Elephas maximus indicus: one gene and its partners. The protein of the gene in region 3 interacts with the protein of the main gene of each other region in a biochemical or structural test. Links are inferred from orthologs where the notes say so. Each region holds a gene or a part of one and is shown on either strand. Other genes may lie near its edges.

Region 1 (7,272 bases), on a different chromosome or scaffold from region 3:
GAGAGGGGGCTCAGCTAAGATGCATGTTTGGCTGGACAAGCCAGGACTCTGGGAGGATGCCCTTGTTGAAGTCTGCCAATGTCTTCGGTCCTAGGAGACCCAGAACTCTCTTAGCCGGGGAGTCTTCAGGGAGAGGCTCCAGGTATCGGTTTGGGTTGCTCAGCATCTGCCTGTGGTCAGCAGTTTGTGCACCTGGAATGGGACAAGAACCTCATGCTTCTGAGGGATCATCAGACTGGGCATCCCTCCCAAGCAGAGCCAGGCCAAGGAAGAAGGCCCAGGGCTCTTTGAGCTCTGTGTCACAGGAGCTATGGGTGCAGGGTTCTTGGAGCTCCCAGCTCACATCTGCAGACTCTGTGGTTCTCACAACCACTCGTTTCCTCTGACGGCATCACAGACCATTGAGGAGCCACCTTCCCCAAGTTCCTGTTTCTGAGGGAGAAGCTGCTGCCTTGTCATGATCCTGGAGCAAGAGGTTTTTCTCTGGCTTTGTCGTTTGGTCTTGTCCAAGGAACATAGAACCGAGGTAGAATGGAACGCAGAGTTTGAGCAAGGTTTCCCATACTTGCCTGAGCATAATAATCACCTGAAGGGCTTGCTAATATTAGAGATTCCTGGAATCCTCCCACACCTTCTGAATCTAAGTCTCCAGAGGAGCCTAGGCATCTAAATTTTCAGCACTCCAAGAGAGTCCTCTGATTGGCAACCTTTAATGTATAAAGGGAGCACTTGGGAATCTGGTTAAAATGCAGATTCTGATTCAGTAGGTTTGGGGTGGAGTTCAACATTCTGCATTTTAAGCTTCCTGGGGATGCCAGTATTTTGGTCTGTGACCACACTTTGAGTAGCAAGATTTGGACAGTGGTTCTCAGTGTAGTTCCCAGATTAGCAGCCTTAGCATCACCTAAGGATTTGTTAGACATGCATTCTCAGGCCCCACTCCAAATACGGTGAATCAGAAACAGATGGTGGGGCCCAGGGATGTTTTCACAAGCCCTTCAGGCAACTCTGATGCATGCCCAAGTTTGAGAATCGCTAATCTAGGATAAGGAGCCCTCGTGGCGCAGTGGTTAAGCAGCTGCTAACCAATGGGTTAGTGGTTTGAACCCATCAGCTACTCCACCAGAGAAAGGTATGGAAGTCTGCTTCTGTAAAGATTACAGCCTTGGAAACCTTGTGGCAGTTTTACTCTATCCTATAGGGTCGCTGAGTCAGAACAGACTCACTGGCAATGGATAATCTAGGATAAAGAATCTGTCTTTGAGTGCTGTGCTACCTTCCCTCTCCACTTCATTAAAATTTAAAGAACCATACCCACTTGCTGCCTCCCCTTTAGGGGGCCAAGTATTCCTGGAGACAGATACTCTTTAACACAACATGGGTCCATTGCACTGAAATGGCTCCTGACTCTGGTTCAGACTTCTCAGCCTTTTCTGGTGGTTTTTACCAGTTAGAGCACCCTCTAGCTCAGGTTCTCAATGTTTCTGCTGGTCCCTCAGTCTCTGCCTTTCTCCTGGGGAAGATTGGTTTGAAATTTAACTTCACAGACAGATGGCACACAGAGCTGGAAGAGGCAAGTGTAGGCACATTCTCTGTAACAAAGTTCTAATCAGATGTCAGAATGGATGACAGCTACTCAAGGATGTGGCCCTTGGCAGGGAGGATAGTGAGCACGGGCCCAGACAACTGCTCTTGCCTCCATACCACTGATGCCGCCATTCTTATCTGAAGGCAGGCTTTTAAGACTAGCCTCAAGGTGAAGTCCATGAGTGAGGTAGGAAGTAGGGAAGGATCATCTCTCAGTTCTTCTTAAAAGAATTCGACCATATTGGTCCCTTTCCACTTAAGGAGGCACCTAAGGATTAGAAAGAGAAGTTTACAATCCTTGATCTGCCACTAATTAATTTTGTGACTATATATAAATTAACTCTGGGCCTGTCTTCCTATCTATAAAATGGGAATAGCATGTATCTCATTGGATCAATAAAAGGAAGCTTACAGGAAGGTGCTAAGTGCCTGGTATATAGTAGGTACTCAATAAAAGGCCAAATAAAACATGAAAATGTGATAAGATGATTTTTAGAAGAATAGGAAACTAACTTTTCAAGCTAGATGCCTTGACCAAATTGCTTAAGTTTCCTCAGCCATTGTGTCTGTAAAATAGACACCGCCCACTTTGCAGGGTCGACACGAGAGCTGGATACAAGGTATGTGGGGGAGCTTGGTACAGTCATCTTATGTACCTACCTGAGTTCACTTGGCCACCTCCTTGCTTCTCATGAAGCAGGCACTTGATTTTTTTTTTTTTTGTTACTGAACAGGAAGAGGGAAAATGAAAATAAGATGAATGAGTAAGGTAAGGGCCTAACTACAGGGACAAGTCTAAGGTGGGAAAGCAGGCCACCATCCATTCCACATGGGGCTCAGAAGGTTAAAGCAATGTGGATTTTTAGAGCAGTTGTGGCCATCAGAGCAACTCCAGCTTCAGAACCGTGCAGAGCACTGGCTGGGTAATCTCTGTCTGTTCACGTGCATTTGTTTCATCCTCTCTATCAGAACAGGCAGGGTCCATGTCATTTCATGCGTATCTACAGTGGATACAGCAACCTGGATGGACTTACGGTAGCACAAGGATTACTTACACCCCGTGTCATTCAAAAGTGATTTGAGATAATGGGCTCATAAAATTATTCTTGGTGGGTACAAAGATAGCCATTTCTTAAGAAATATAGCCTGGTTTCTTAGAGGAACCCAGACAAGTGGTTGCAGATTATTACACAAGGGATGGAGACGAGCAATCCTGCAGACATGGTGGAGCTGAGATATGGAAAGCCTTTCCAAGACTCCACCTTCTTTTTCACAAACAGAACAGTTGGACTTCTCACGATTTTTGGTTTGAGGGGAATATAGGCATGTCAGATGGACCTGGGGTTCAATCCTGGCTTGGCTTACTGGCTGTGTGACCTTGGGCAAATTATTTATCCTATCTTCATTTCCTTACTGTAAATGGACAGTTTTGTTGGGTAGAGTAAGTGATCACGTGAAAATGCCCAACATGGAGCCAGCATACAGTAACTCAGTCTCTCCCTGAGCTCCAATAAGTGGCTTGAAAGAAATAACACCAGTGATCAGGTAACAATGAGACATATACAGCTTTATTTAATAATCTGTTAAAAAGTCACACTCTGACAGAATGACACATTCCCTATCTCAGCAGAAAGCAAACAATGTGTCTGAAAAGTCCCTTCCCAAGATTCAGACCTGTGTAACCCTGAGCTTACATCTGATGCTCTCAGGAGCTGGGCCCTTGCTGTGTGGCAGATGGTCTCTGCATGGTTCTATCACCCTCCTCCCAGCGATATTCTCTGGCTAGCTGTGACCCTTCACATAGCAGTGGACAGGAGGCTGAAAACATGGACAGGGTTGCCCTTACAGATTGGTCCCTTCTCTCCTACTACAAAAGGGAGTTCAAGAGATTAAGAATCCTTCTCAGAAATGAGTTCGATATAAATTTGGCTTCTATTCATTAAACATGATATTATGTTAATGTCTGCCCCTCTCCTCCACCCATTTTGTCATCACCTACATAATATTTAGGCCGTACCTGTCCCTCTTTTGGGGACCGAGGGATGGAAAAAAGCTCTCTCTCCATTACAGACATGGGACGCATTTCTTATGAATGCTTTGTGTAGTAGTGGCATCCGACATGCAGTGACAGACGTTTTGTTCCTGCAGAGCCAAGACCTGGCATTTTGTTTTCCACCTTTCTGTGCTAAGAGAGTCCAGTAATTAAGCCACACTCACACCTTGGGAAAACTCCACATTGTATCAAAATCTTATTTTTCATGGACTTCCAGCAGAATATATCCTTCCTTTTATGTATAGAATAGTATTTTGTGAGTTCATTTGGAGAGAAAGGGGTGACTGGTCACCCTGCCCACCTCTCTATGTAATAAAACCAAAAAAACCCGTCGCCACCGAGTTGAATCCAACTCATAGCGACCCTATAGGACAGAGTAGAACTGCCCAGTAGAGTTTCCAAGGAGCACCTGGTGGATTTCAACTGCCGACCTTTTGGTTAGCAGCCGTAGCACTTAACCACTATGCCACCAGGGTTTCCCTCTATATTATAGGCACCCTCTTATTGGTCACAATCAATCAGAGGTCCAAACAGTAATTGTGACCTTCCACATTTCTCAGAATTTCCCCTTTCTGAAGTCACTTTGCAAATCTTATTGAACAACTTGGAACCAAAAGAGAATGCACTGGCCTACACAACAGAGAAATCTGTTCTGCACATTTCCCCTAAAAACATCATTGAAAATGCAAAAAAAGTCCCTTTTTTTGTTTTTTGCAGAAGCTCTACAAGAAAGCGTGTCTAAAATCACAGGACTATGTACACACAAACACAGAGATGTGTGCTCGCACACACACGGAGTTGGGATCAAAGAATCTTATCGGAGCGCAGGACAAAGCTGGAAAGAGAAGATACAGAGATTTGACCCGCTAAAGATGTTGGAATGTTATAGTAATGGCATGGACGTAGTTCTTGATACATACAAAAAAGGGGGTAGGCGGGCAGAGAGAATGATCAATTCAGGCTACCAGAGAGAGAGGGATTCAGTGGCCATGCATGAGTTAAAAATGGTAGATGCCAGTTTGCTGGATGAAATGTTGTATTATGGAGTGATCAGATGGATCTGCGTGGTCCAAGGGAGGGGCATCTGCTTAGCAGGACACCTCCATGGTCTCCTGTTTGTCTGGGTCCTCAGAGGACTCAGGGACTCCTTGAGTTCCATCTGATTGATTGCTGATGAGAGACCGGCTGTAGGGACTTTCTCCAGAGCTCAGGCTACTCGAGGTTGAATGGGTTCGTGACCGGGCAAGTCGAGTCATGCTGGCAGATGGTACTGTAAGAAAGAACCAAGAGGACTAGAAGGTGGAGCCCTGGTTAAGCTCAGCTAAATCAGTAAGTTTCACCAAAGGCTTTATGTTCAGGTTTCCCAATCCATTTAAGGTGACACCCAGGGACAAGATATAGCCATCCCCACTCTGCACTATTTGCTCTAGGTGAGTGGTTATATGCAAGGTTGCTTTAATCCTTTGGATCTGGCTGGAATCTCCCTAATTCTAGTCCACAGCAGAACAAGGGGAAACCCTAAGCCCAGAGTATAGCCTCTTAGCTGCACCCACACTATTCATACAGTTATTAGGGAGGAGGTTTTGGGAATCCTAATAGGTAACCAAAACCTGTAGTGCATGCAAGACTAAACCAAAGAAAAGAAAGACAAACTACGTAAGTATGAAGGTGTTTCACAAACAGCGCAAGCCCGATACAACGAGACTACCATCCATGACCACAGACTCCCCTTACTGTCTGGGGAGGAAACATGGAGGGAAGGTGAGGGTGTAAGGAAGGGCAGATGGGCTTGGAGCTGACCTCTGCACAGGGAGTGAGGTAAGGTTGCCCAGGAGGGAAAAGGACTGGGGATAGGTGTTTAACCAGATTTCTGTTCTGCCACTGCTTTGACTCGAAGGTCCTTCCAGCTTGGACAGGACAGGGCCTTACCTGGCATAACTTCCCTGCCTAGCCTCCTGAGGGACCAGCCACTATCCAAGCTGTCACTTCAAGGGAGGGGTCAAAAGATGCCATCACCTGCAGAGTTCTCTGGCACAGGCTCTGACACTCCTATTTTAAAGTTAAGGCTGCCCTACAATCTCTGGGCCTGGGTGTTAACTCAAGGATCAATAGGCGGTGGTAGAAGAGGGGTCATGTCTAAAAGCTATGAAGTTTCAGCTTCTGCTGTGATCCTGGATTTGGGATGAGAGGCCTTATAGCCCTCTCCTTTCTTCCTCCTGGGGGGCTCGGGATAGACCTGCAGGCTAACCTTCAAGCACAATGAGCCACGTTCTATCGGGCTCTCACTGCACGGGAAACCGCGGACATGCTGCAAGCAGCCAGTGCAGCCAGGAGGGTGTATGGCTGGGAGGCAGGGGCAGGGCCAGCACAGAGGATGGTACCTGACTCGGTGCTCAGGTGACTGAGCTGCACATACGGGACTGGAAGCAGGATGGACACAGGAAAAGGCAGGTTAGTGACCCGAGAGTGCCAAGTGGCAACCTGGGCTGCCTAATAGACACTGACAGAATACCCTAAGCCAGGGGTGAAATTTTATTTTAAGGTTCTAGAGAGGTGCTGAGGTTGAATAGCATCTCAGATGCTACTTCTCTCAACCAGTCAAGGGCAATTGTTTTCCCACCCACTATGAAAAGTCATCTTGCTTTGGATCATAAATAGGCTGGAAGACAAGCTGTTTTCTAGAAAAAGAAATGGAGAATGGGCTAGAAGAGGGAATTCTGCTAGAAGTGGATGTAGGCTCAGTTTTTAGGAGCTCACAGACGAGGACTACACAGCCACTCCAGACAAGACATACACAGTCTGCCTGCTAAGTGCCAGGCTACATCCAGGTGCCCAGCTATTGCCCAGGGCAGCTGATAGGCAGCTCACCATGGCTACTATCCACACTAATACCAAACACACGGGGGAAAAAAAAATCACTCTACTGGGTAAAGAGCTTTGTACCCGGATGGAAAGATTTTCCTTTTTAAAACTCCAAGAAAGGAGCAAGTGTGGATATTCTGTGCCAACTGAGAAAGCTCAGGAGTCACACAATACAATTGACCAGGACAGTGGAATATAAGGCAGACACATGCTTTGGACTTTATTCTAAAATACTCTGCAAGTTCACCTTCTGTGGTGGAGCAGACTTAACTGAGAACATTACCCTTTTCTTTTGCAGTCTCTATTTTGTTTCCCTAGGCCAGGAGTAATTAATCAGCTGATTAATATATTAATAAATTATGTGGCACTAGTTTTTTTTTGTTTGTTTGTTTCCCTAGGCCAGGAGTAATTAATCAGCTGATTAATATATTAATAAATTATGAAATCATAATTTCATATTCAAAGCTAGGACAGCCTCAGCTTTAGTGGATGAAAATGCGGCCTCTGGAGCCAGACTGCTAGGGTGTGAAACATGGCTGTGCAGCGTACATGTTCCACCGGGAAATTTGCTTAACCTCTTTGAGCTTTAGTTTCCTCTTTTATAAAATGAGACTAATAATAGAACTTACCTCTTAATGTTATTGTTAGGATTAAGTGATACAATGAATATATACTGCCTGGCCCAGGTAACTGTTAAGGTAAGTGTTAGTTCATTTTATATACAAGCACAAGATGAATGGTCTATAAATGTTCTGGTTTTAACTTGACTT
Region 2 (7,755 bases), on a different chromosome or scaffold from region 3:
TTTGACCTCCAGATTGTGACTGAGAATAAGTTTTGTGGTTTTAAGCCATGCAGTTTGTATCGGCCCAGGGAAACCAATGTAGGCTTCTTAGGGCTAGATTGCCCAGTCTTCCTTGGAGCAAATGCTCACCCCTTGTGTGATTAGAGGAGTTTCAGCAGACTGCGGTGGGAAACTGGGAGCTTGAGGTGTGCGGTCACCTTACAGAAAGCAATTTGGCCTTTGTTCTGTTTTTCATAGCTGTACCAACACCTGAGGCTGATGAATGGGGGCTGATCTGACCAAGAGGGATCACCTGAGTGCCCAATGCTGCCTAAGCCTCACAGGCATGATGTAATCTACCACAGCCACGTGGTGAGGCTGATAAAGGCCCAAGGCTCAGAGGTGCTTCCTGGCTTGTGACCATGTACCAGAGACTAGTGTGTTCTTTGGGACGTGGAAGCTCTGTGCTGTGACCCATCCCAGGCCTCATCCTGTGTGTCTCTTCATTTGTATCCTTTTTGGTTGTAATAGAGTTGTAGCTGTTAAGTATGGTGCACTCTCCAGGAGATTTGCTGAGTCACTCCAGTGAATTGATGAACCCATGGGGCAGCCGAGAGCCAGGCGGGCTTCTGTCTGCCTATTTGGCAATCTGAAAGAAGGTGTCCTTCTAATGTGTGAGGTCTGACCCATGACCTAGCACTAGGTGGGTAGGGCCCAGTAATGCTGCATGGATAGCTGGTCTGAAATATGGTATCCGTGTAACTTGTGGGCTCTGACGCAGCTCTGGGTGGCTAGCGTGGGAGGGTATGCCTGTGAGTGGCTGGTGACAAGAATGGAGAAGTGGGAAGTTAAGGACTGAATCCGTCCCCACACTTTGGGAATCGGACTCTTGTTGATGCCGGTGGCATGTCTAGGGTATCGCCCTGGTCCTGGGTGCATGGAGCCACTGGACAGTTTCTGTTAACTCGGTACGGCCCAACGTACTTCCTCAAGCACCCAAACCCAAACCCAGTGCCGTCGAGTTGATTCCGACTCCTAGTGACCCTATAGGACAGAGTAGAACTGCCCCATAGAGTTTCCAAGGAGCACCTGGCGGATTCAAACTGCTGACTCTTTGATTAGCAGCTGTGGCACTTAACCACCATGCCACCAGGGTTTCCTCCTCAAGCACAGTAACGTGTTAATTAAAAGATGAACAAACTTGACTTGTATTTTTGAGCTGATTGAGCCACCGTGAGTCAGTCGACTCAATGGCAATGGGTTTGGTTTTGGTTTTTATTATAATAGAGTTATTTAAAAGAAAGGTGTCAGATGTTTGGGCAGGGGCGCCATTTTCTGTAGGTAGCCGCTGGTCGTGATGGGTTAATAGAAACTTTCAGTGGTGCCAAGCACCCACAGGTGGTACAATACCTGCCATACCAGCCATACCCCAGTTCTGCCTCTGCCAGTTGATCCGTACCTTGCAGTTAACGATGAAGGCAGGATCTGCCCAGCGCCACTTGCTTAGTGCAGGTGCCATGAGAGGCTTTTGTGCAAGGGGAGGGGCAAGAGAGAAGCCGGCTAGGAAGACATTGATATTCCATGTAAATCTGGGGGATGGGAGGAAGTGAGGTATGGGAGGCGAGTTGGAAGGTAGTGGGTACAAGAGGAAAGAACAAGAGACTTAGAGTCAAGAACATGAGGGTTCTGTTCCCAGCTCTGGCACTTACTTTTTCAATTTTTTCATCTGTAAAATGGGGATAATATTGTATGTGAGTTAGAGATAATATATGTAAGGAATTCAATAAATACACATTACAATTATTGTTAATGATATAAATATTAGGATGGTGGCATTGGAAATAGAAAGGTACTATCAAAGAGATGTTTAAGAATCAACAGGACTCAGAATCACAGGAGTTTAGACCGAAAGCGATCTTAATGTCCTCTAGTGCCGCCTCCTTACTTTCCTTGGGGAGAGCTAAAACAGTGGGGATGAAAAAGTCCTGGCAGCATGAGCTTTCTACCTTGGGAGCCAAGGTGCATGGTGCACTCCTGGGCAAGCCTGAGAGATGGTGGGAGAAGGAGCTAACTCGGAAAAGTGATGAGTTCACTCTGAACATGCTGACTTTGATGAGACAACGAGTGGCCTACAGGAGAGGTCTTCTGGGCCGCTGATAGTAAGGCATTGGAGTGTAGGTAAGAGATCAGGGCTGAGGAGGTATCTAAGGCTACAGAGCTAGGAGTTATTGGCTGAAAGTCCAGCTTGCAAGATATAAAAAACCATTGTCTCTCTTAAAAAAAAAAAAATCAGAATAAAAACAAAAGGCCAAAGTCAGCTTTGGGAATATTACGGTTACAGGTTGGGGAGTCAAAATACCCCACAAAGAGACAGATGGGTGGGCAGAAATGTAAGAGAATCAGAATTAGTCATTTTAGACAAATGAAAAGATGATCATGTTTGAAATATAGTAGAAAGGACACGTTTCAGAAAACTGTACAGGATGACGTTTGAGGAAAAGACCACTGGGTTTAGACAGAGAACGCCGTGGGTGACTTTAAGAAATTACCAGAGGAAGAAGAGGAAACACTGGGTGAAGTTCACACATCCATGATTCAGTCAAAGTTTACAAAACAAGTAAAAACTAGGTTGATATCATTATACTTATTTTGAGTACGTTCATTTAAAACTGGGCCAGACCATGACTGGACTTCTGTTTTACTTATTGTAAAGCTGTTGTTGTTGTTAGCTGCTGTCAAGTAGATCCGACTCATGGTGACCACATGCACAATGTGATTGGGCCATCGTGATCCATATAGAGTTTCCATTGGCTGATTTTTGGAAGTAGATTGCCAGGCCCTTCTTCCTAGTCAAAATATTAGTAAAACAAGGTTTTCACAAAAGGATGAATCCAAACCAAACCCATTGCCATCAAGTTGATTCCAACTCATAGTGACCCCACAGGACACTGCCCCACAGAGTTTCCAAGAAGTGCCTGGTGGATTCGAATTGATGACCTTTTGATTAGCAGCTGTAGCTCTTAATCACTCTGCCACCAGGCTTTCCTTAAAGGATGAATGGAGGTCGCTTTTTTTCCAGCATCACTGCAGAGAAGAATGAAGATGTCCTGATTCCCCTAGCCCCTCCCACCAGAGATTGCTTAATGGGCACCACCTACTGCCAGGGACTGTGTCAGGTGGGTTAACATTACATTCCCATCTTGCAGAGGAAGAAACTGAGGCGTAGAAAGGTTAAGAGATAATTTGTGCAAGGTCACACAGTTGGGGAAACCAACAGTCACTGAATTGACTTCAAAACCATACTGACTCTAGTTACCTATCCTTGGATACTTCCTTTAGGGAACGCGATGGGATTTGTGAATCAAATAATACTACCCCGTCACTTTGGATAGATCATTACTGCTTTAATAATAATGGAGAAGCCAAGAATCTAGGAAAAAATCTTAACATGGAGACATGCCATCCCACTAGGACATCAGGATTATTTGCATGTTCAGGTTTCCTTTGGGAAGCCATATGGGAAGGGGACTGGAGAACAGACATCTGCACGCAAGTGCCTGCGAAAGTGAAACTTCTGTCTTTGCTCTTCCTCCGGGGTTTTAAGCTTCCAAGTTTGTTTACAGGTAAGCGGCAACTTGGTGCTGAGTGAACCAGTCCCCCACTAGTGACAACTCCTTCTGGGCCCACAGTCAGGCAGCTCCTTATGGCGTTCTGTCCTCGTGGGTGAGTGTGCAACCAGAATCCAACTGGCTCGAGCTGGTGACGATGCAGGGGAGGCAGCAGAGTTTGGGTTTCCTCTCCTCCCCTTAGGAAGTGCCTCCAACAGGGATGATGGAGCAAAAACTTGTCTGGTTAGGAGTGTAAACAGATGCAAGACAATCAAAAATATCCAAAAGCAATTACTGGGAGGCAGTGACATTTTTATGTAAGTCACTTTTCTGATGGACAACAGACCTGCTTTGCAGAGTGCCTTGGGGACGCTTCCGGGAGGGGGACAGTGGCCAAACAGTGCACTGATAAGAAAATCGAACTAAAAGGATGGGAAAGACGACCCTACCAGTCATTTAAGGCTGGAAGTTGCTGCCTTATGTTCATTCTCGTGCCTCACTCCCAACGGTAAAGGTACTTTCTTTTCTCTCCGCACATGGTACCGCGTTTCTCCCAGTATTTACCCGTCGCCAAGCGGCTCGCGCGCCACCCAGGCTGAGTATTCCCTTGCGTCCCTGCTATTCTTTTAAGCGTTCCAGGCCCTGGGCCGCCGATCTTCCACAGGGCCCCCGGCCGGGCCCGACAGCCTGCCCGGTGTCCGGTCCCGGAGAGGCGGCCGGAGGCTGGGTGCGGGCACGGATCGCACGCGGGGCGGCGGGGCGGGCCCGGGAGAACCCTGTGAGGAGGTGGCCGCGCCCTGTGCTGCCCGGGCGCCCCCAGGTGGGTCTCGGCGGCCGGCGCCCCAAGCACCCGGGGCCTGCGGCCGCCCCGCACGGCGTCAAGGCGCGGCCGGGGGAGGAGCGGCAGGAGGAGGCGGAGAGGGCAGCGAAGGGAGGGCGCAGAGGAGGAAGAGGAGCGGAGGAGGCGGGAGCTGGGCGCCGGGGGAGGGGTTGCCGCCGCCGGGGCTTCGTCAGGCTGAGAGCCGCGGCGGGCGAGCGAGGCGCGGAGCAGCGGGCGAGACGGGCGGGCGGACGGCCGGGCCTGGACGCGGCAGGGCCGAGGCGGCGACAGGGCTCAGCGGCGGCCGGGCCGGGGCAGCGCACGCCGGGCCGCGGGAGGGGGCGAGCGGCCGGCGGCGGCGCGAGGAGGGAAGCGGCGCAGACAAAGAGCGGCGTCTCCCGGGTGCTGAGCGCGGCCACCGCCGGGACCCCCGCGCCCGGCCCTCCGGGCGGCGCCGCGCGCGGCTGCCTCTCTGCCCTCGGCGGGCGGCGGCCCGGCCAACCCCTTCGCGAGGTAAGCGCCGCCGCCGGGGAGCACGGCCGGGACGGGCTCGGGGCGCGGGGGCGCGGGGGCTCCGCGGCCGCCGCAAACTTGTGGCCGTTCCGTGGAGTTGGGAGCGCGGCGGGGGCTCGCGGGGCGGGGCTGCGCCTGGAAAGGGACTCGGGGGACTGGGTTCCCTCTGCCCTCTCCACCGGGTCCCCGGGCCCTGCCGCGCGCGGCCTGGGGCGCCCCCTGCCCCGCGCTGTCTGCCCCTGGGGTCGGGCAGGGCTGGGCGCCGCACTTCGCAACTCCTCACCTTTCTTCTCGCCTGCCCGGCTCGGGCCCCTTCGCCGCCGACACTCCTGGAGTGTGGGCACTGGCCGTGGGCAGGCAGGAGGGTGCGGGAGCCGGGGGCTGCCGGTCGACCCCGCGAAGCTGGGACTGACTGACCCGGGGAGCTGGGGAGCCCCGGGCAGGCAGGGAGTAAGCGGCCTCCGAGCCAGCTGCGGGGACGAAGCTCGGGGCCGGGCGTGGGCGTGCGTCCTCCTCGGGGTCACAGCAGGCCCGTGGGGGTGGCCGGGGTCGCTGGGGCGCGTGCGTCCTCGGGAAGAACAGCCCTGGATTGCAGGGCTCCTGCGCAGGGGACGTGGGAGGCCGAGCTTTGCCGAGAGAACTTACTGTCCTTATTGGAACTATTTATGAATCCCCGCACAAAGCTGCTGTCATATCGCATAAAAGAGGTCCTCGCCTAGGCGAAGGGCGCTTTTGTGGCGGATTCAGCCGTGTCCTGTCCCAGATTTACTTGATTCTGTTACAGCCACCGGAACCAAAGTTTCTCATCACAGCTTTGCTCTCCTGGCTTATTCAGGACGATTTAAGTACGAAGTGGTTCCGAAGAATTTGGTGTGTGACTCCTAAGGCATTGACTGTAACTCCCTCACCAGCTTGGTTTTTGGGGGATATTGTATGGAGGGGTTTAATTTGCAAAACGCTTTAATTTGTAGACAATAAAGATCACCGTGGAAGGTCTGCGGGGGACGCTGGGGGTCACTGGCTGATGAACGTCAGACACCTGACTTAAGATAAACACTTTAACAGCTTCAGGGTCAAAGCAGTAATGTACCTGGAGTCTGCCTCAGCCACTTCAGACAATTCGGTTTGGCAGTTTCCCCTTTATTTGGCTTGTTTATTTTGCGAAGAGGTTTAAGGTCCATTCGGCCAAGTTTTCACCCCATCAGTTGGCTTCTCCATAATCAGTTGGCTTCTGCATAGTGCGAGCAAACCCCAGTGCTGGGCAAGAAAGGCTTACCAGCATCAAGTCCGTCTCCTTCCATTGACCCATAAAGAAGCTGCACTCTGGCCAGGTGGCTCCCTTTCCACCCACAGGTAGGAGAGTCCCCAGTCCCAGGACAGCCCTGGCTTCTTGAAGTAGATTTTGTGTAGGAATGAAAATTCGGGGTGTGCTTTGTGCCACTGTTTTTGATACAGTTGTAAACAGTACTTCTCAGTCTTAAGAAATGAAGGAAAAAAAGTGAAAATGAAATTTACCTGGGGCTGCTTTAATTTATCAGAACAGAAGTAAACTTTGCCTCTGAACACACTGGTAACTCACTCGCCAAATGTTCCTAGGTAAAGGGCAAATAAGAGAATTCAAGCATGTGCGTGGTTTATATAAATAAATGTTCATGATAATCAGTGGTAAACGTGGAGAAGAAATGTGGGATGTTTGGGTCTGTTGTTGGGTGCTGTCTAGTTGATTTTTACTCATGGTGACTCCTTGTGACAGAGGAAAACTGCCCCATAGAGTTTTCTTGGCTGTCATCATTAATGGCAGCAGATTACCAGGTCTTTGTCCCATGGAGCTGCTGGATGAGTTCAAACCACCAACCTTTGGTTAGCAGCCAGGCGCTTAACCATAGCGCCACCACGGTTCCTGGTTTGGTATAGATAAATTGGTTTTTAGATGTTGTTGGAGACAGATTTTCTGACGAGTGGGTGTGAACACGGTTTGTGAAGAAGTGACCACACCTCGATATTTCTCTCTCCTCAAGGTTGGTTTGATGTAGTTTTGATTGAAGAAAGTGGCAGAATCTTAATGGTGGTCTTAGGACGGCTTCATGCTGGAATTCAGAACTTGAAGCCAGTTGTAAGCTTGTGGAGGTGCCTTACTCATCTTCCTCTGCACCTGGGCCTGAGCTTCTTAGCTGCTGGGTAAACACTGAACTGGATTGTCACAGAATTCAGGATGTAGCTGGTGGCAAATTGCCATAGGAGAATTGACTGCTCCTTAAGCCCTGTGTCCACGAGGGGGGAAACCCATACTTTTTAGGTGGGTGAGGCATGTCTAAGGTGCATTTTAAATAGCTGTGCTCAGTTTCCTATCTGTTAAGAGCTAGCTGCCAACCAAAAAGGTCACCAGTTGGCATTGACCAGCTGCTCCTTGGAAACCCTACAGGGCAGTTCTACTCTGTCCTGTAGGGCTGCTATGATTCGGAATTGACTGGGCAGCAGTGGGCCTGGTTTTCAGTTTTTTTGATGCTCAGTTTCCAGGCTTTGAATTTTGCTCGATGGTAAGTTTTGGTCAAATCGTTATACAGCTGCATCCTGAATCTTCTCTGTCAGTCTCACCTTCTGGCGTTTGCGTAGGGGGTTATTGTTTTCCAACAAGCAGCAGCTCTTGCGTACACAGTGTTTGAGAAATGAATTATCATCTATGTTAAAGCACTGGAAATTCTCTGCATGTGCGCAGACTGGATAACCTTTTAAAATACTCTAAAGACTTCCTGATCGCCTGGAATCTTTTCCTTTATCACTGACATTAGCTAGATTTGCCCCGGCTAGGCCAGGGCTGTGCTGCTGTATAGAACA
Region 3 (7,939 bases):
CTGCACTGGTCCCTCATGCTTCCACTCCATGTCTCCCTCTGCCCATAGCCATGCGTGTCCCAGTGGCCTCTGCTCCCATCCTGCCCTCAGTCCCCTGCCATGCTGGGAGGGCCCGAGAGGAAGGCAGGCATGAGCTAGACAGGGAGAGAGAGGACTCTCAGGCCAGGAGGGTCCCCACTGGGTTGGGGAAGACAGCTCTACTTTCTATAACCTAGTTAAATGAATGGAAAAGTCATTCACCTAAAAATCTGAGTAGTGTTTCTATCCCTTCTGGGCACATGTTTGCCCCTAAACTGGGGCTTTGCTCAACCCATTCCTGTTGAATGGAATTAAGACTTTGACTAACTCTTGAGGTCTCCTTAGAGGAGTCAAAATGCCTTGGACATTACTGGCTAGCTGGGGAGTCTTGGATAAGTCGCTTCACTTCTCTGAACTTCAGTTTTCTCACCTGTGCACCTACTTCACGGGATTGTTGCAAAGATTAAATGAAACTGTGCGTAAGAACTCGGAACGTAGGAAGTTGAGGCAAGAGACATTAATACAGCAGAAATATGGGAAATCTCAAACCAAGAGAACATGACTTTGGAATGTAGAATTTGTTCTCTTTTTACACGTGAGCCTATCTTTTCCATTTTTTTCCCCTTGAATATTAAAATAAGGTTACTTTTCCTAAATCCTCAAGTATAGTAAAAGGAGAAAGCTATTGGGAGAATCATACTGGGAGTAAATATGAGCTCTGCATGATAAAAAGAACGAGTTTGCTGCAATTTACAAAACGTTGACCTCTAAGAAAGGGTCTCAGTAAAATCCTGACCCTCTGGGTCTTCCCCCACATCCCCCTCCCCCCACATTCCTGCCCCTGCCCTGAGCCCTGACATATAACAGGAGTGTTGGAGGCAGCTGGGTGGTGTGCTGTTTTAACCACTCCCTGCACAACACACCCAGCTTCTCTCTCTGTACCCAGCAATGCAGGATGAGGGCTGAGGAAGCCCTGGTGAACAGCAGTCCCACCACCCTTCACAACCCAGCTCTGAAGCAGCCCAGTCCCTCCTGCGTGACAGCCCAGCCTAGCCTCACCCTTCTCATCAGAGCACCAGGGGCAAGGACGCCCGCCTAGGAAACAGGGAGGGGAAGGATTGGCTCCCTAGGAAAGGGGAGCCTCCTTCCTCAGAGAGAAGGCGTGGGGCCACCTCCGCTGTTTACGGCCGATCTGGCCCGGCACCTTGAGTTCCTTCAGAGGGCAGAGTTCAGCCAAGTGCCCAAGTCAGCAGGGAGATTGCTGTTTGGCAACACAAAGCCCAGACACACACCAGACCACACAACTCAACAACACCCTGCCAGACACGCAGCCTCAGACACGCACGCTGACACTCTCAGCACAGCAGTACGCTGACCCTCTGGCAACGCTCAGGCACTATGACACCACCACCCCTTGGCTCCGTGGCCTATGGGGACCACCCACTACTTTCGGAACACTCATTTGGTTTTCCCCACAACTCCGGCAAGCAGGGTGCAGTGTTTCCCTTGTTCAAGGCAGATTAATACGGTGATTTCACATGTGTAGTTAGAGATGGGACTGCCTGGGGTCCAACCTGAGCCCGCCATCACTGGTTGTTACTTAAACCTCATTAATGCCAGGTCTTCACCTGGAAAATAGTAATACTAGTGGGACTTCCCTTATAGGGTCCTGAGGATTAAAGGAAGGAATGAATGCATGGAAAATGCCATACCTAGTGCTTAGCACCCAGTATGCGTCCGGTATACCTTGACTTTCAGCATTATTGCCTACAGAGGAAGATAGATGCCCCTCTCAGGACACACACTGCCCCCATCTCCCTTTCCCACACAGCATGAAGGAAAAGGCAGCTCCACAGCCCAGCCTTCTGCATTCCCCAACCTGGCCCCATTTCTTACCACCGGGTCCAGACTGTTCTGGAAACCCTTCCTTGAAACTCTCCTCCTTTATGCCCCAGAACCCGAAGCCCGCCACCACCACTCCACCATCCCCTGTGTTCTTCGAGAGTCATAAAACACCCAGTCCCCAAGCTGGCCCTAAAGAAACTTGTTCAAAACAACCCTCTCGCCCTCCCCACAAGCCCAGACCCCAGTATGAGGCAACTCTGCAGCCAGACCCGCCGCCCTCTCCTCCCGGCTCTGGCTGAACAGGTTGCTGTCCCCACCTCCCCCCTCCACACACCGACCCTGCCTGGAGCTGGAGTAACCAAATCCTAGTTACTGAAGGGGGCGGAGAGGGACAGGGCGGAGGGGACCCCCCAAAGGAATCCAGTCCAGTCCAGTCTGGGGGCGGAGGCTGCCAACTGGAAAAGCTTTGAGAAAGCTTGAGAGGGCTCAAGAGGGGGGAAACACACATGCTCTTCACCGCGCAATCTGCCCTTTCATGGAAACTTTCTAAATAATTTCCGAGAACTTTTGACAAGTTCTCGGAGCCAGTCTCTTGAATGGAACTTCTAGAGCTGCTTCGGTAACTGCCCCCTGGCCCATCTTCTTTTGCCCCCTCCCTGCCCGAGTGCCCAGCTGCTCGGAGCGGCCGACTGTCCCCAAGCTCGGGTCCGGAGAGCTCGCGGGCCCTTCTGCCCCGCCCGCCGGTCCCCGCTTTCTGCGGCTACCCAGGCTGCAGGGTCTCCGTCGCTGTTCCATGCCCTCCCCACCCCAGACCTACCTTGGGTGCCCGCAGCTCCGGGGGGCAGGAGGGCGAAGAGGAGCCCCCAGCGGCACCAGGCCGCCAGTTTCATGGTGTTCACTGTGGCTCCGGCCCCATGGCTCCGGCTGGACCAGGCTGCGAGGGTGCCGGGCGCGGCGAGGCGAAGGGTGGGCGCTGGGCGCCGGGCTGGCACCCTGGGAGGGGCGGGCGGTGGCCTTGGGGTGCTTCTCGTCCCTCCTGCTACGATCGAGGGGAGTTTCAGCTCCACAACTTCATTCTGTACTTCCTCAAGGCAGCCGTTCTCCTCCTCCTCCTCCTCGTCCTCCTGTGATTGGGAGCAAGCGCGCTCGCAGCTCGCCCCCCCACCCCCTCCGACTGCATTCCAGCAAGTCTCGGGGAGTGGCCCGGCTTCACTTTCTCCCTCTCTCCGCGCAGGCCTGTGAGCGTCTCTCCCAGGGCTGGGACGCCTGGGTTCCCTGTAGCAGTTCTCAAACGCTTCCTTGGAGAACCCCTAAAAGCAGTGACTCTCCCCGCTCGGCGAGTCTGGGGCAACTTCTTTAGGGGCCGCCTGCCATCCTTAACACTTTTAAGTCGCCCGTTTTATCTTAAACATTCCTGACGAGTTTGCGCCCTACACATCACAGGGCTGTTTGTTTTAATATCAAATAATGGTTTTCCCACTACATCCTCAAGTAAAATTGACAGTCAAGGAGGGGAGTGTGTTGTATTTAACTTGTGGCTTCCGGGACTCCCTGGGATACCTTTTCAAATCTTTTGGGTATCTTCCCCAGCCTGAAAAGCATGGTCCTAAGGGGGTCCACCAATGGGGGTGGGGGAGAGACGTTCAAATTGGTGGGACCACCTCCCCATCCTTGGAAGAACATCCCTTTTGTTTCTTTATGGGGGCATCCAGCACCTAATTCATTCAAGGTTTCTTCTCTGCCCCTTGCAGTTTACTATTTCATTCATTTCCGTCTCCCCACCCTGCATTCCACCAGGAGCCCCTGACCCTGTTCCTCAGGCCCTGTGGTGTGGGGGTGGGGTGGGGATGAGGATAGAAGGAAGGCATGTTTTTGCTGGAAATTCCAACAGAAGAATGCACAGGACACACTTATACTAACAAATTATTCGTTGTTTACCTGAATTAAAAATTTAACTGGGTATCCTTATTTTTATTTGCTAAATCTGACAAATCTAATTGGAATGCCCCAGCCAAGAGCAAAGCCTGTGCTGGTCAAGAGAGGGTCAGAGGCACCTACCAGGGGGTAGAGAATGAAAGACAGTAGCATTTCTTAAACTGCTCCCATGTGCCAGGCACCTTTATAAGCAGACACTTCTACAGGAGGAGGTGGAGGTAGGGGGTGGTGACAGCATCAGGGGCTCTGGAATCAGAAATGACCTGAGTTCAAATCTCTCCACTCTGCCACATATCAGCTATGTGATCTTGGGCAAGAGACTGAGTCTATCTGGGTCTCAGTCTTCTCATCTGTGAAATAGGGTCTGTAATAGCATCTGGCATGTTGTGCTAGTGGTTAAATGAAATAATGTTCCTGAAGCACTTAGCACCATACTTGGCACACAGTAATTGCTCAATAAATAGTCCCAACTGTGGTTATACTGGAGCCCTGGTGGCACAGTAAGAACTCAGGCTGCTAACTAAGAGGTCGGAAGTTCAAAACCACCAGCCACTCCTTGGAAACCCTATGGGGCAGTTCTAATTTGTCCTATAGGGAAGCTATGAGTCAGAATCAACTGGACAGCAACGGGTTTTGGTAGTTATACTGGGGCAGATACAGGTTTTGTGGGGGCCTGAAGCTTATAAGTTTTGGGACACCCTCTTTAAGAAAGGGAATACCATATCAGTTGCCACAGAGTTGTTTCTAACTCATAGCGACCCTATAGGACAGAGTAGAACTGCCCCCATAGGCTTTCCAAGGCTGTAAATCTTTACGGAAGCAGACTGCCACATCTTTCTGGTGGGTTCAAACCATTGACCTTTCGGTTAGTAGCCAAGTGCTTTAACCACTGTGCCACTAGGGCTCCAAGAAAAGGAATACAGGAAACCTCCAAGAAAAAAAACAGGATCCATTAGATGGTTGTGAAACCAATTGAGACTATCATATCAAGATTAGTTTTTTTTTTTTTTTTTTTATAACTAAAACAGAATAGAAAATATAAGAGCATCACACGTAGTAAGGGTAGGTGCCCTTTTGTGTGTGTCCCAGATGGTGATATAAAATGGATTTATTCCTTGGATGATAGTAACAGATGTTCAAGAAACCTTGCTGTGCACGGGGATACAGCAGCCCTTCAAGATGGTCATCCAAATTCTTATTTTCTCTGGAGTTAGGGTTAAGGAAACTAAGGCTCTAAGGAGTTAACTATTTGTTCAGGAGTGTCTTAGGGCTAACTGGGGAAAAGTGGAACAATCAGCAAAACCAGCCTCTCACCTCCACCCCATCATACAGCCCAGAGGCTAGTCAGTGTGCCTCTCAGCCTCGCAGCCTCTCAGTCCTTTAGGGAGGAGCTGCTGACTTGGCTCCAAGAGTCATTTGCTGATCCCATATCAAGGGCTTGCACCTGGGTGAGAGCACATATGGCATCCAGAACCCATCAGGTTGTTAGGGTCAAGGTTGGGGCCAGAGTTAGAGGTGTCCCTTCTCCCCCAGAGTAAAGAAGGGCTCATCCAGTCAGGAAAGCTGTGACTCTCTGTACTAGAGCCACAGTCCTCGTGTCACTGAATCCTTGAGGCACCAGAGGAGACTGGTATGATCAGTTCCCTTTTACAAAAGAGAAACCCCAGGATTCCTCGAGGTGAAGAAACTTGTCCAAGGTCACAAGCAGAGCTGGGAGGTGAACTTCATCTGTAGAACCACGGTGGCTTTGGCTTGGACTGTCAGCTTCAAGAGCCCTGAATGGTGGGTTCCCTGAACCCACCTTCTCCCCAGGCCCCTGCACGGGAGCTAGAGGAGACCCCTCTGAGAAGAGAAGCCTGGGTAACTACCAGCCCTTCCCTCCGCAAAGATCCTGCCTCCCCCTCCACAGCAAGCCCATCCTCTCGGCATCCCGGGTCCCAGGGAGACAAAGCTCTGTCCTAGTGGGCTGCAGAGAAAGGCCGGAGCCAGGGAGTGGGGGCAGGAGAGGGGATGGGGGAGGAGCTGGGGTCAGAACTCACGCCCCGGGGAGGAGGCTCGAGAGGGGCCCAATCTCTCAAAGAGAATGAGCCTATTCAGAGCCGGGAAGGAAGGGGAAAAAACCTTGTCTGCTGCTTGACAAGAGGAGAGGAAGGGGGGCAGGGGTGGGCGCTGCTGATTCGATTCTCCCCTCACTGTCCCTCCAGCAGGGCCTGGCAGGAGAGCCAAGGAAAGAGGATGTATGAGGGACAAAGAACGAGAGGGGGAGTTTCAGGGGGGAAGAGAGGGCTGAGGAGCAGGGGCGGGATTGTTGGAGGAGCATGAGAGTCCAGGAGAAAGGCTTAGTGAGGGGCCTAGGGAGAGGGAGGCTGGGGTACAGAGGAATGGTGACCATGGGACAGAGGGGAGCAAACTGAGAGCCGGGGGGCAGATGCATGAGCTCTTTGAGTGATAGGTACTAGATCCATGGGCAGCAGACGTGACCATTGCCACTGAAGAGGCAAGACAGGGCTCTGCCTCACAAAGGTGACCTCCAAGGGTCAACAGGTCGGGGTCTGGAACAAGCGGCCTGTGAAATGCCAGTCAATCATTGACTGGTCACTGAAACTGGGGAGCACATGAAGCTGTGTGTTTGTGAGTGTGTTTGTCTGTGTTGGCACCGGAGTCTCCTCCCCTTTGCCTACCTCACCAGCCAGCCTGGGGTCAGAGAACTGAAAACAAACAGAAGAAGGGAGGGTACGGTCCACAGTCCGAGGTCCAGGCCACAAATTGGGGCCTGCCCCACAGAACCTCCGGCCTGGGGCATGGATTCCTGGGCAAGTGTTTGTGTGAATCAGTTACTTAGAAAGAGTCCCCTGAGAGTACACACAAGGCCTCCCTGGGGCCACAGAAGAATAACTTAGAAGCTTCTGATAAGAAAATCCAGCCTTAAAAAAAAAAAAAAGAAAATCCATCCTTACTATAGGTGGCCATGTATGAATACTTGTAGCCTAATCGTGTGGGAGGCCTGGGCCCAGGGTTAGAGAAAAGGCAGAGCCCAAACTTGCCAGACCCACTGGCCCTGGTCATGCTGTTTGCCTCCCTCAGCCCCTCTCACCCACATCTCTCTCGGGAATGCAGGCCCAAGGACCCTTTCTGTCCTCAGGGTGCTTTTCAGAAAAAGCCCTCTCTGTCCTCCGCCTCACCTCGCTTTAATGCATATACATGAAGGAATGAGTGACTTCTATCCTGGCCTGTGCATACAAAGTTGTCATGGTGCTAATTTCTGTGTGTCAGTGTCTGTGTGTGTTCTCATTTAACATGTGCTCTTAGTTTATCTGTGGGTCTCTCTTCTAACAGTAGCTTAGCTGTGTGGCCTTGGATAAGGCCTCACTTTGCTGACTGAAATATGAGTTGGACTGGATGGTTCCAGGTCACAGGGTTTTAGGATTTGGTGTGGGGACAGTGACCCCCTCCAAGCCCCACACTTGTCCCTTGAAAGCCCCCATTGAGCCACCCCTCTCCTAGGTTTCTTGTTCCAGCAGCCCTGAGTCTTCCCACTTCCCTTGGCCCTTCAGAACTCCAAGCATATCCTCCTTCACGCTGAAGTGCAGGCCATGAGAGTGTAAATGAGGTCACTCTTGCCTCTGATTTTTGGTTTTGGGAGGAGAAAACTAGGCAGTTTCCAGAAGCATAAAACGACGGCAGTGGTGAAGCCCTGGCTTTGGAGGACACTCCAGTTTTAGATGATTACATTATGTCAAAAAAATATAAAAAGACTTCTTACTTTGATTTCAAGGGGGTTCTCTCTTACCAGTGATACCAAAATTAGGAGTAAAAGCCTAACCCAAACTGTAAAACTATTGACTTCTGTTTTTGTTTATTTTAACCAAGGAATGCTAACTACTCTGAAACATTGTCAACTTGCCTTTTCCGGCTCAAAAAAGGGTAGTCAATAACAACCCCATTACCTCACGATTGAATAAAAAAGACTGTGTCCTTCCTAAATTTTCATTTCAAGAGGTCCAGTAGCTACAAATATGTAAAAGGTCAAGTTTTCAGGAGATTTTTTAAAATCCTAACTCTATCATCCCTAAGTACTTTGTCATCATGGAAACTTGTATTCATTAAGAAAAAAAAAAAAAAAAATGAATTTTTTAAGCCT
Region 4 (7,751 bases), on a different chromosome or scaffold from region 3:
TGCCATGCAATAAAAATTTGGTTTCCATATTTGAGCCTCCACAAACTTTCATATGTGGAAAATTTCCAATAGCTTGATCACAAGCAGCAGGCTGACTTCGTATCTTACTACTTGAAATGATTAGTTGACGGATGAGTTAAATACATCACTAATGAAAACATGATTACCTTCAACAAACAGCCATTAAATATGTATTTTGTGCAATATAAGCAAAACACTTTGGAAGTACTCTATATTTGCTAATTTAATCCAAGAAAACCCACGATACTAAGAATATCCAAATTTTTGAAGCCATTTAAAATACTTGAACTGATTGTCTCTCTAAAACAAGTATCTTTTCAAACCTTTGTCACTATATTTTTAAAAAAGAGTTTAAAATATTTATTGTTTGACAAGATTAAAACCTAAAATTCATTCATAAACCTAAAATTCAACACTAAACTCATAGAATTCTAAGTGAACCACAAATTACACCTTGCTGAGGGGGAAAAAAAGGACCCAAACACAGATACAAAGGTGAGCACCTCACTTTTAAAAATGTGTTGCCTGCATCTAAACATACTACTATTCCCTCAACAATGAAAAAAAGTCAAGAACTATAGCTTATAACCGGTTTTAAATATTTAGGTGCTACAATTTTTTTTTTAAATAAAATTTACTAATATAGAGAAACATCTTCACAAAGTTAAGTCTCTGTAAAAGATTTGCTCTATTAAGACTTTGGTACTCTGAGGCCAAGTATAAGCCATATAAGGAAACTGAAGTTCAATGTCATTTATTTTGTTCCGCTCTTTCAGATGCCCAAGAATAACCTCTTCCACTGCCTAACCATACATTCCAAAATCACAAAGTAAATCAGTAATGCATTTTAAACTCCTTGATAAAGCTAGTTTGACGTAATAATAATTGCTTGGTGGTTCACAAACACACACAGGTCTAGAGACTAGGCTCTGGGAAAATATTAAAACGATACATACTAAAAATTAAAAGATTCACTTTTTGAAATGTGGTTAGTAAAGTAACAAAGAACAAGCTGTGAAATACTTGATTCTGATTTTTAAGATCACCTCTTCTTTGAACTAAAGAAAGGCAACTTTTTCCTCAGGTTTCCGGTAACTACTTGAGGTCTCATGGGCAAGCAAAACATAAATTTATAAAGATACACCTACCAACGGAATACTGTATTTATCCAATATTTATTCAAAAGCACAGTATATTATCTTCACCCCCCTTTACCACAAAAGTACCGGGAAAAGCTAAACTTCAAAACACAGACACAGTAAAACACCACTGAAAAAACAATCCGGGTTTCCGGCAACCAAAACTAGTTTTATCTAAGAAGACAACCCATTGGTTCAGAAGTGTTCATAACTCTGACTGGTGGAACGTCTGCCATGCTTCATGAATCTCTCCCCCTCAGTAGGTACCTGGCATTAAGCAGAACCTGGTAAAAACATTTGTGGCAATACAAAAATGTAAATACTGCACTATTCAAAAAGTACTGCTTTGTATCAAAATCAATGTGACTTCCACGAAAGTCCTTTTACTTCTCTTCCTACACATTCGGTTCTCAGTTGCAAAGAAGTCCTGGCACGCAAATCAAACCAGTTACAGGTGCGTTGTTTTTTGTTTTTTTTTTTAAGTATACCTCTCTTCATCCATAACCCCTACCCCCTCCTTTTTCTTCCTACTAGGACAGTTACAGGAAAAATCTAACAGATACTTGCTTTCAATTAACGAAATAAGTATTATAAGGTTCTAAACGTCTGAAAGGAACAAGTTATTACCTAAAGAAATATATTACCCGCCCAGAAAAACGATTAAGAATGGCAACGCTTTTTTGTTTTTGTTAATAAGCTCCAATATATTTATAAGGGCTTGAACTACAAAGTCTCTGTATATAATTAACCAAAATAATCGGTAACAGTATGAACAAATGTGGCTGCCATCTCTTAAAAGCGAACCACTCGCTGCAGCGACCTTTCTTCCAAAACAAGAGTTGCCAGACTCAGCAACTTAATAAAAAAAATATACATTGTATATGTTCAGGAAAAGTAAAACTTCTGCACCTTGTGCTAAACAAAGGCACTCTTTCTTCGGACTGCAGAGAACTTTTCGTCCCACCGCATTCTTAAAATCTTTTAAAATAACCAGAGCCTAGATGGTAGAGGGGAAAAAAGTGGGGGGGGGGGGGAACCTCAGTACTATGTAACAACTAAACTATATTCGATATTACAAGAGAATTTAGGGCAACTTTGCGGAAAAGTGAGAAACACTAAAGTCTTTCCTGGCCCACGAACTTTGTGACTTCTAGACACTTTTCGTGAAAATTACCTTTCGGTCGGGCAGTGTCTCAGGGCAGCTTTTTCAAGGCTTCGCCTGACATGATTTCCTTTCCTTCATGAGTCACTTTGGATCCAGTCGAATTTCTCCCTCCGGTGAGAGCGGATGTGGAGCGGCCTCCCGCAGTAAGAAGAGTAGGTTGCTTTGGTGGGGGTTGGGATGCGGGCTGGTTTCCGGGTCTCGAGTTTTGCAGGAGTTTCCCAGCCCCAAGTAGGCTCTCCGCAGGGGGGGGAGACTTCTCACTCGTGACACGCCCGGAATTACCGTGCGAAACTCACTTCCTGCCTCGGCGAGAAGCAGGATCCAGCTCCGTCCAGGGGAACCCGGAAAACCAGCTCCCCGCACTCCGGGGAGGGGGCGTCCGCGGGGAGCCTGGGGCTCGGGCCCCGGGCGCCCCGTACACCCGACGGAGGCGGAACCCGGCCGACGCGGTACTAGACGCCGCCGAGGTGCTCGGCGAGCCTCGGCCGCACTAGGCCGCCACCTCCTCTTCGCTGCCGCCGCCCCCAGAGCCGGGCGGCGGGGTTATTGTCTCGATAGCGCCTGCCGCGCCCTTCGCCCGCGCTGCTGCCGCCGCCCGGAGCCGGAACCGAGGGGCCGGGGAGACTCGCTGGCGGACCCCTCCCCGGGCCGTCCGTCGGGCTGTCCGTCCTTCCGTCCGTCCCTCCCCGCCTTCCCTTCCCCGTCCTCGGACCCTCTTCTGCTCCCTCCCCGGTTTTCCCGCCGCCGTCCCTTCGCTCCCCTCAGCGCTCTTCTTCCCCAGCGGCTGTGGCTCCCCCAAGAAGCGCAGGGGGAGGGGACAGCCGGCGGCGTCTCCTCACGAGCTCGTGGGGCCGCGGCAGGCGCCGAGGCTGCGTCCCGCGCTGCCGCGCCACATTCACTCGAGCTAGGGACAGCGAGGAGAGGGGAGGGGAGGGGAGGGAGGGAGAGGAGAGAAAGGAGGAGGAAGGGGCTGGGGTGGAGAGGAGTTACTGCCTCACAGGCCGCGACAGCAACAGCGCCACCGCCCCGGCGAGGTGGAAGCAGCAGCGCGCGGCGGGGGCGGGGCGGCCTCCCGCCGTCTTCGCCCCAACCGCCAACAGCCGGGCTGGAGGTCGGCGCGAGCCAGTGGCTGCTCGCGGGGGCGGGCGGCCGACGTCGACGGCGCCGGGGGGCGGCGGGCGAGGGGCAGCGGGGCCGTGGGGGAGGGGCTGTCGGCGGCCGAGGGTTAGCAAGTGAGTCGCTGCGCGGCGAAGGGCCCCGGGGAGGCCTATCTGCCTCTCCCCAGCCCGCCCCACGACCCCGCACACACCCGCTCCTGAGCGGTCCGAGGGGAGTGGCGGTGCAGACGCGGACCCTGACCGGCTCCTCGCAGCGCCGCGCTGAGCCCCGGAGACCGAGAGCCCACAGGCCTCCGCCGCCCCAGCTGACTGAGTTTCTTTGTACGACAGTAATCGGTGCGGAGAGGTTGTCCAAGTCCAACCCCGATTTGAAGGCTGCAGGTATCTCTTTCAACTGCAGCACTCCAACTTCCGCTAATGGCACGCTCAGGTTGCAGGAAACCACAGCGGCATTTCGGTGAAGCTTCCCACGCTGGCCCTTGCTCGGAGCTTGCTCCCACAGCCACCCAGCTGGGGCTCCTCCAGTTCTCAGCCTCACACCGGCAGGGAGACAAAGCTGGCGCTGGAAGGAGGAAAATGGCCCGCGAAATTGCCTCAAGATAGTGCCTTTGTTTGAAGAAACATTGGATATACTCCGAATGCGACGTAGGCTTCCAACCCCAGCGGTTTTGGTGGTGCAGTGAATTGCGTTGGCCCTAATAATTCAGCCTGGCAGGGTTTGCGTTTATTGCGGAGAGAGATTTTTAAGGATTGTGTCAACACATATGGCACAGAAATCCTCAACCATAACATCGCACTGTTTTTTGCAGTTGCTGCTTTAGATACCTTAACAGGCAAGACGGCTTTGTTTTACCCGGAGAAGAAAAGATACTGAGCAAACCACACACCCCACCCCCTACCCCCGCTGTGCTTAACTGTGTACAGTGATGGTAATTAGTCTCTGGGTCCCTGAAGTCACTGGTTCAGTTCTTCCGTCTGCGTTACAGAGATAATTATTTATTACCAAGTATGAATAAAGAGTTGAATACCCTGCAGATGATTTTTGGCGCGCATCCAACGGGAGGAGTTCATTAAAAACCATCAAAGAATCATTTACCAAAGTGAGTTGTATACTTGTGAAAAGCACTTGAAATAACCCTAAAGATACTCAGGACATTCTACTAGGGGCGGGAGCATTTTAACTAACCCCACCTCCCACCTCTAACCCCCCATTGCTGGAATTAACCCTGGTAAAGGAGCCGTTATAGGTTGCTATGAGTCGGAATCGACTTGACGCCAACGGGTATAGGAGCTCTGGTGGCTAGTAGTTAAGAGCTGGGCTGCTAACCAAAAAGTCGGCAGTTCGAATCCACCATCCGCTCCTCGGAAACTGTATGGGGCAGTTCTACTCCGACGGCAACGGGTTTGGTTTTGGTATTAGTTCCTTAATGTAGAGCAGAAGTTGAAGATTTACTAATAATATCAATACCAGATTGTTCAGGCTTATTCAGTGCTTAACTGGAAGTAAGAGTGTTGTAACTAGAATAGGAAACAGCAACCATATATGCCAAGCGAGGTATCCATTTTATATGAATAAGAATCTTAGCCATTGTATAAAATTTAAAGTTAGCATATTATATGATCAATTTTTAAATCCTCATGAGAAAAGATTTCTTCCTCACTTCCAAAATCTCCTGTGAGTCTGAACAGAGCCGGATGTTCTAGCTATGAACTGAAAGGATCAGTCCCCTAAATCATTCCAGGGTGAAGAATCTCCCATACCAGAGACCAGCTGGATCTTGGAATTAGAATGCTAAATCTAGTCTCAAGTTGATTCAACCAAAACCTGTTGCCTTCAAGTCATTTCCGACTCATAGCAACCCTATAGGACAGAATAGAACGGCTCCATAGGGTTTCCAAAGAGTAGCTGGTGGATTCAAACTGCCAACCTTTTGGTTAGCACCCGAACTCTTAACCACTAAGCTGCCAGGGTTTCCCAGGTTGATTCAAGAGCCCTTTAAATCTTGGGGTGTCCAAAGTAAACCTAACCACCACCACCACTGCAAACCTAAATAAGTAGAACTAGACCACATCCCTAGGCTAAGACCTGCCCTGTCCTAGTCATTTTTTACTTGAACTCATACTCAGGACCAACCTGGCTAACCATCATTCAGGCTACAGAAGTCCCTATAACCCAAAAGCCCTCCTTCAGCTCACCTGAAATTCTGCCATTGGGGTTTTTTCCCTTTGAGTAGTTTCATCCTCTGGCACAAAATCATAATCCTGGAAAATGTAATATTTTAAGCCTTATTAGTTATTTAGATCTAATTCATCAGATTATTTCCCAAAAGCAGATTTGATGGGAGGGAAATGGAAATAATACATGCTGAGGCTGAGTATGTAGGAGAGGGAAATGTGGTTTCATTCCTTGGAATAATGTATGAAGTATACGATTAAAAAAAAAAAAAAACGATTAGAGACAATAAAATGACTCCCTGTTGATTGTTAAATAAGTGTTGCTTACTCATAATATAAGAATGAGCCCCAAAACACTGTTCTTCAAGGGTGGAAGCCAGGATACACTCGTCAATAGTTATCTATGTTTTGTCAAATATTTCTTTCATAATCCCTTTATAAAGTAGGCAATTGGTTCTTCGAGAACTGTACCTTCAGCAGTGATTCTGCATCTGTACTCATAGAAAATGGTGAAATGACAGCTATATAATCAGGGTATATGACTCATCTTTGCTATTCATCGCTGACCACTTACTTCTAACTCATATGAACAGCACATACAGATACAGCCAAATCGTGTAGTTGTTCTTTTTTATAACCAGGCATTCCTGCTCCATGCTTTACAGATTAGTTTCTTATGAAATTTCTCCCTCAAGACCCTGAACTAAAATGGACTTCACTTTTCAATCATGATTAAAAGAACTAAAGCCCCACCCTAAACAAGCCTTCCTAACTGTGATTGTGTAATGATTAACCGATTGTGTAATGATTAGCTTGATCTTCTCCATTGTTATTCTCTAAATGATTCTTTGCAAAAAGCAAAGGAATCCTTTAGGATTCTTCTTCCCAAAGGTTGAACTCAGGAAAGGAATTACTGCCTAATAGAGATAAGCCGTACTTCTTAAGGAGATGCCTTAAGGCTTTAATCATTCCATGGAATACACACAGCTCCCATCAGAAAAAAAAGTACCGGGGTATAAGGCCAGGTGCTTTTAAAAGGGTCCCTCTATCATTTCCCCAAACCAGCTGAGCAGCTATGCAGAAGCATTAGAGAGACAAAAGTAGCAGGAGGAAAGAAAAGGTTTGGGGTGATAATTCTTCTTTTCTCCTTTTTTCAACCCCTTGTAAAGAGTTGGTTACCTAAAATCAAATTTTTCATCATAGTGGTGTTTGGAGAAGATCAATCTCAGACCAGAGTACGGTTACATTCAAAAGAAGTCAAGAAGCACCGTTGTTCTTAGGTGTCATCAAGTCGGTTCTGACTCAAAGTGACCCTACGTACAAAAGAATGAAACACCGTCCAGTCCTGTGCCATCCTCACAATCCTTACTATGCTTGAGCATATCATTGCAGCCACTGTGTCAGTCCACCTTGTTGGGGATCTTCCTCTTTTTCATTGACCCTCTACTTTCCCAAGCATGATGTTCTTCTTCAGGAACTGGTCCCTTCCAATAACGTGTCCAAAGTATGTCAGAGGAAGTCTCATCCATCATCCTCGCTTCTAAGGAATATTCTGGCTGTATTTCTTCCAAGACATATTTGTTCATTCTTCTGGCAGACCATGGTATATTCAGTATTCTTCACCAACACCATAATTCAAAGTATCAGTTCTTCTTTGGTCTTCCTTATTCATTGTCCACCTTTCACATGCATATTAGGCAATTAAAAACACCATGACTTGGGTCAGGTGCACCTTACTTCTCAAAGTGATCTCTTTGTTTTTTAACACTTTATAGATGTCTTTTGTAGCAGGTTTGCCCAATGCAATGCATCGTTTGATTTCTGGACTGCTGTTCCCATGGGTGTTGATTGTGGATCAAAGTAAAATGAAATCCTTCACAATGTCAGTGGTTTCTCCATTTACTAAGATGTTGATTATTGGTCCGGTTGTGAGGTTTTTGTTTTATGTTGAGGTGTAATCCATACTGAAGTCCTCTTCACTTTCAGCAAGCAAAGTTGTGTCATCTGCATATCACGGGTTGTTAATTAGTCTTCCTCAAATCCTGATGCCACATTCTTCTTCATATAGTCGGGCTTCTCGGGTTATTTGTGTAGCATACATATTAAATAAGTATGGTGAAAGCATTCCTCCCT

The links.
Region 1: the proteins of ERBB2 (region 3) and SLA2 form a complex in vitro, tested with the Homo sapiens proteins (2 studies listed by BioGRID and IntAct, with this or other methods). The link is inferred for Elephas maximus indicus from reciprocal best matches to the Homo sapiens genes ERBB2 and SLA2.
Region 2: the proteins of ERBB2 (region 3) and NCK2 form a complex in vitro, tested with the Homo sapiens proteins (2 studies listed by BioGRID and IntAct, with this or other methods). The link is inferred for Elephas maximus indicus from reciprocal best matches to the Homo sapiens genes ERBB2 and NCK2.
Region 4: the proteins of ERBB2 (region 3) and ERBIN form a complex in vitro, tested with the Homo sapiens proteins (4 studies listed by BioGRID and IntAct, with this or other methods). The link is inferred for Elephas maximus indicus from reciprocal best matches to the Homo sapiens genes ERBB2 and ERBIN.

Annotation. Positions count from the first base shown.
Region 1 is NC_064843.1:32,882,723-32,889,994, reverse strand, and holds the start of SLA2 (src-like-adapter 2), read right to left. Parts: upstream 3,016-7,272; 5' UTR 1-3,015. Other genes in the region: protein NDRG3, read right to left, coding at 4,729-4,910. UniProt on the Homo sapiens protein: Adapter protein, which negatively regulates T-cell receptor (TCR) signaling. Inhibits T-cell antigen-receptor induced activation of nuclear factor of activated T-cells.
Region 2 is NC_064835.1:79,826,071-79,833,825, reverse strand, and holds the start of NCK2 (cytoplasmic protein NCK2), read left to right. Parts: upstream 1-4,749; 5' UTR 4,750-4,920; intron 4,921-7,755. UniProt on the Homo sapiens protein: Adapter protein which associates with tyrosine-phosphorylated growth factor receptors or their cellular substrates. Maintains low levels of EIF2S1 phosphorylation by promoting its dephosphorylation by PP1.
Region 3 is NC_064837.1:46,995,372-47,003,310, reverse strand, and holds the start of ERBB2 (receptor tyrosine-protein kinase erbB-2), read right to left. Parts: upstream 3,015-7,939; 5' UTR 2,754-3,014; coding exon 2,681-2,753; intron 1-2,680. UniProt on the Homo sapiens protein: Protein tyrosine kinase that is part of several cell surface receptor complexes, but that apparently needs a coreceptor for ligand binding. Essential component of a neuregulin-receptor complex, although neuregulins do not interact with it alone.
Region 4 is NC_064820.1:70,759,986-70,767,736, reverse strand, and holds the start of ERBIN (erbin), read right to left. Parts: upstream 3,017-7,751; 5' UTR 2,335-3,016; intron 1-2,334. UniProt on the Homo sapiens protein: Acts as an adapter for the receptor ERBB2, in epithelia. By binding the unphosphorylated 'Tyr-1248' of receptor ERBB2, it may contribute to stabilize this unphosphorylated state.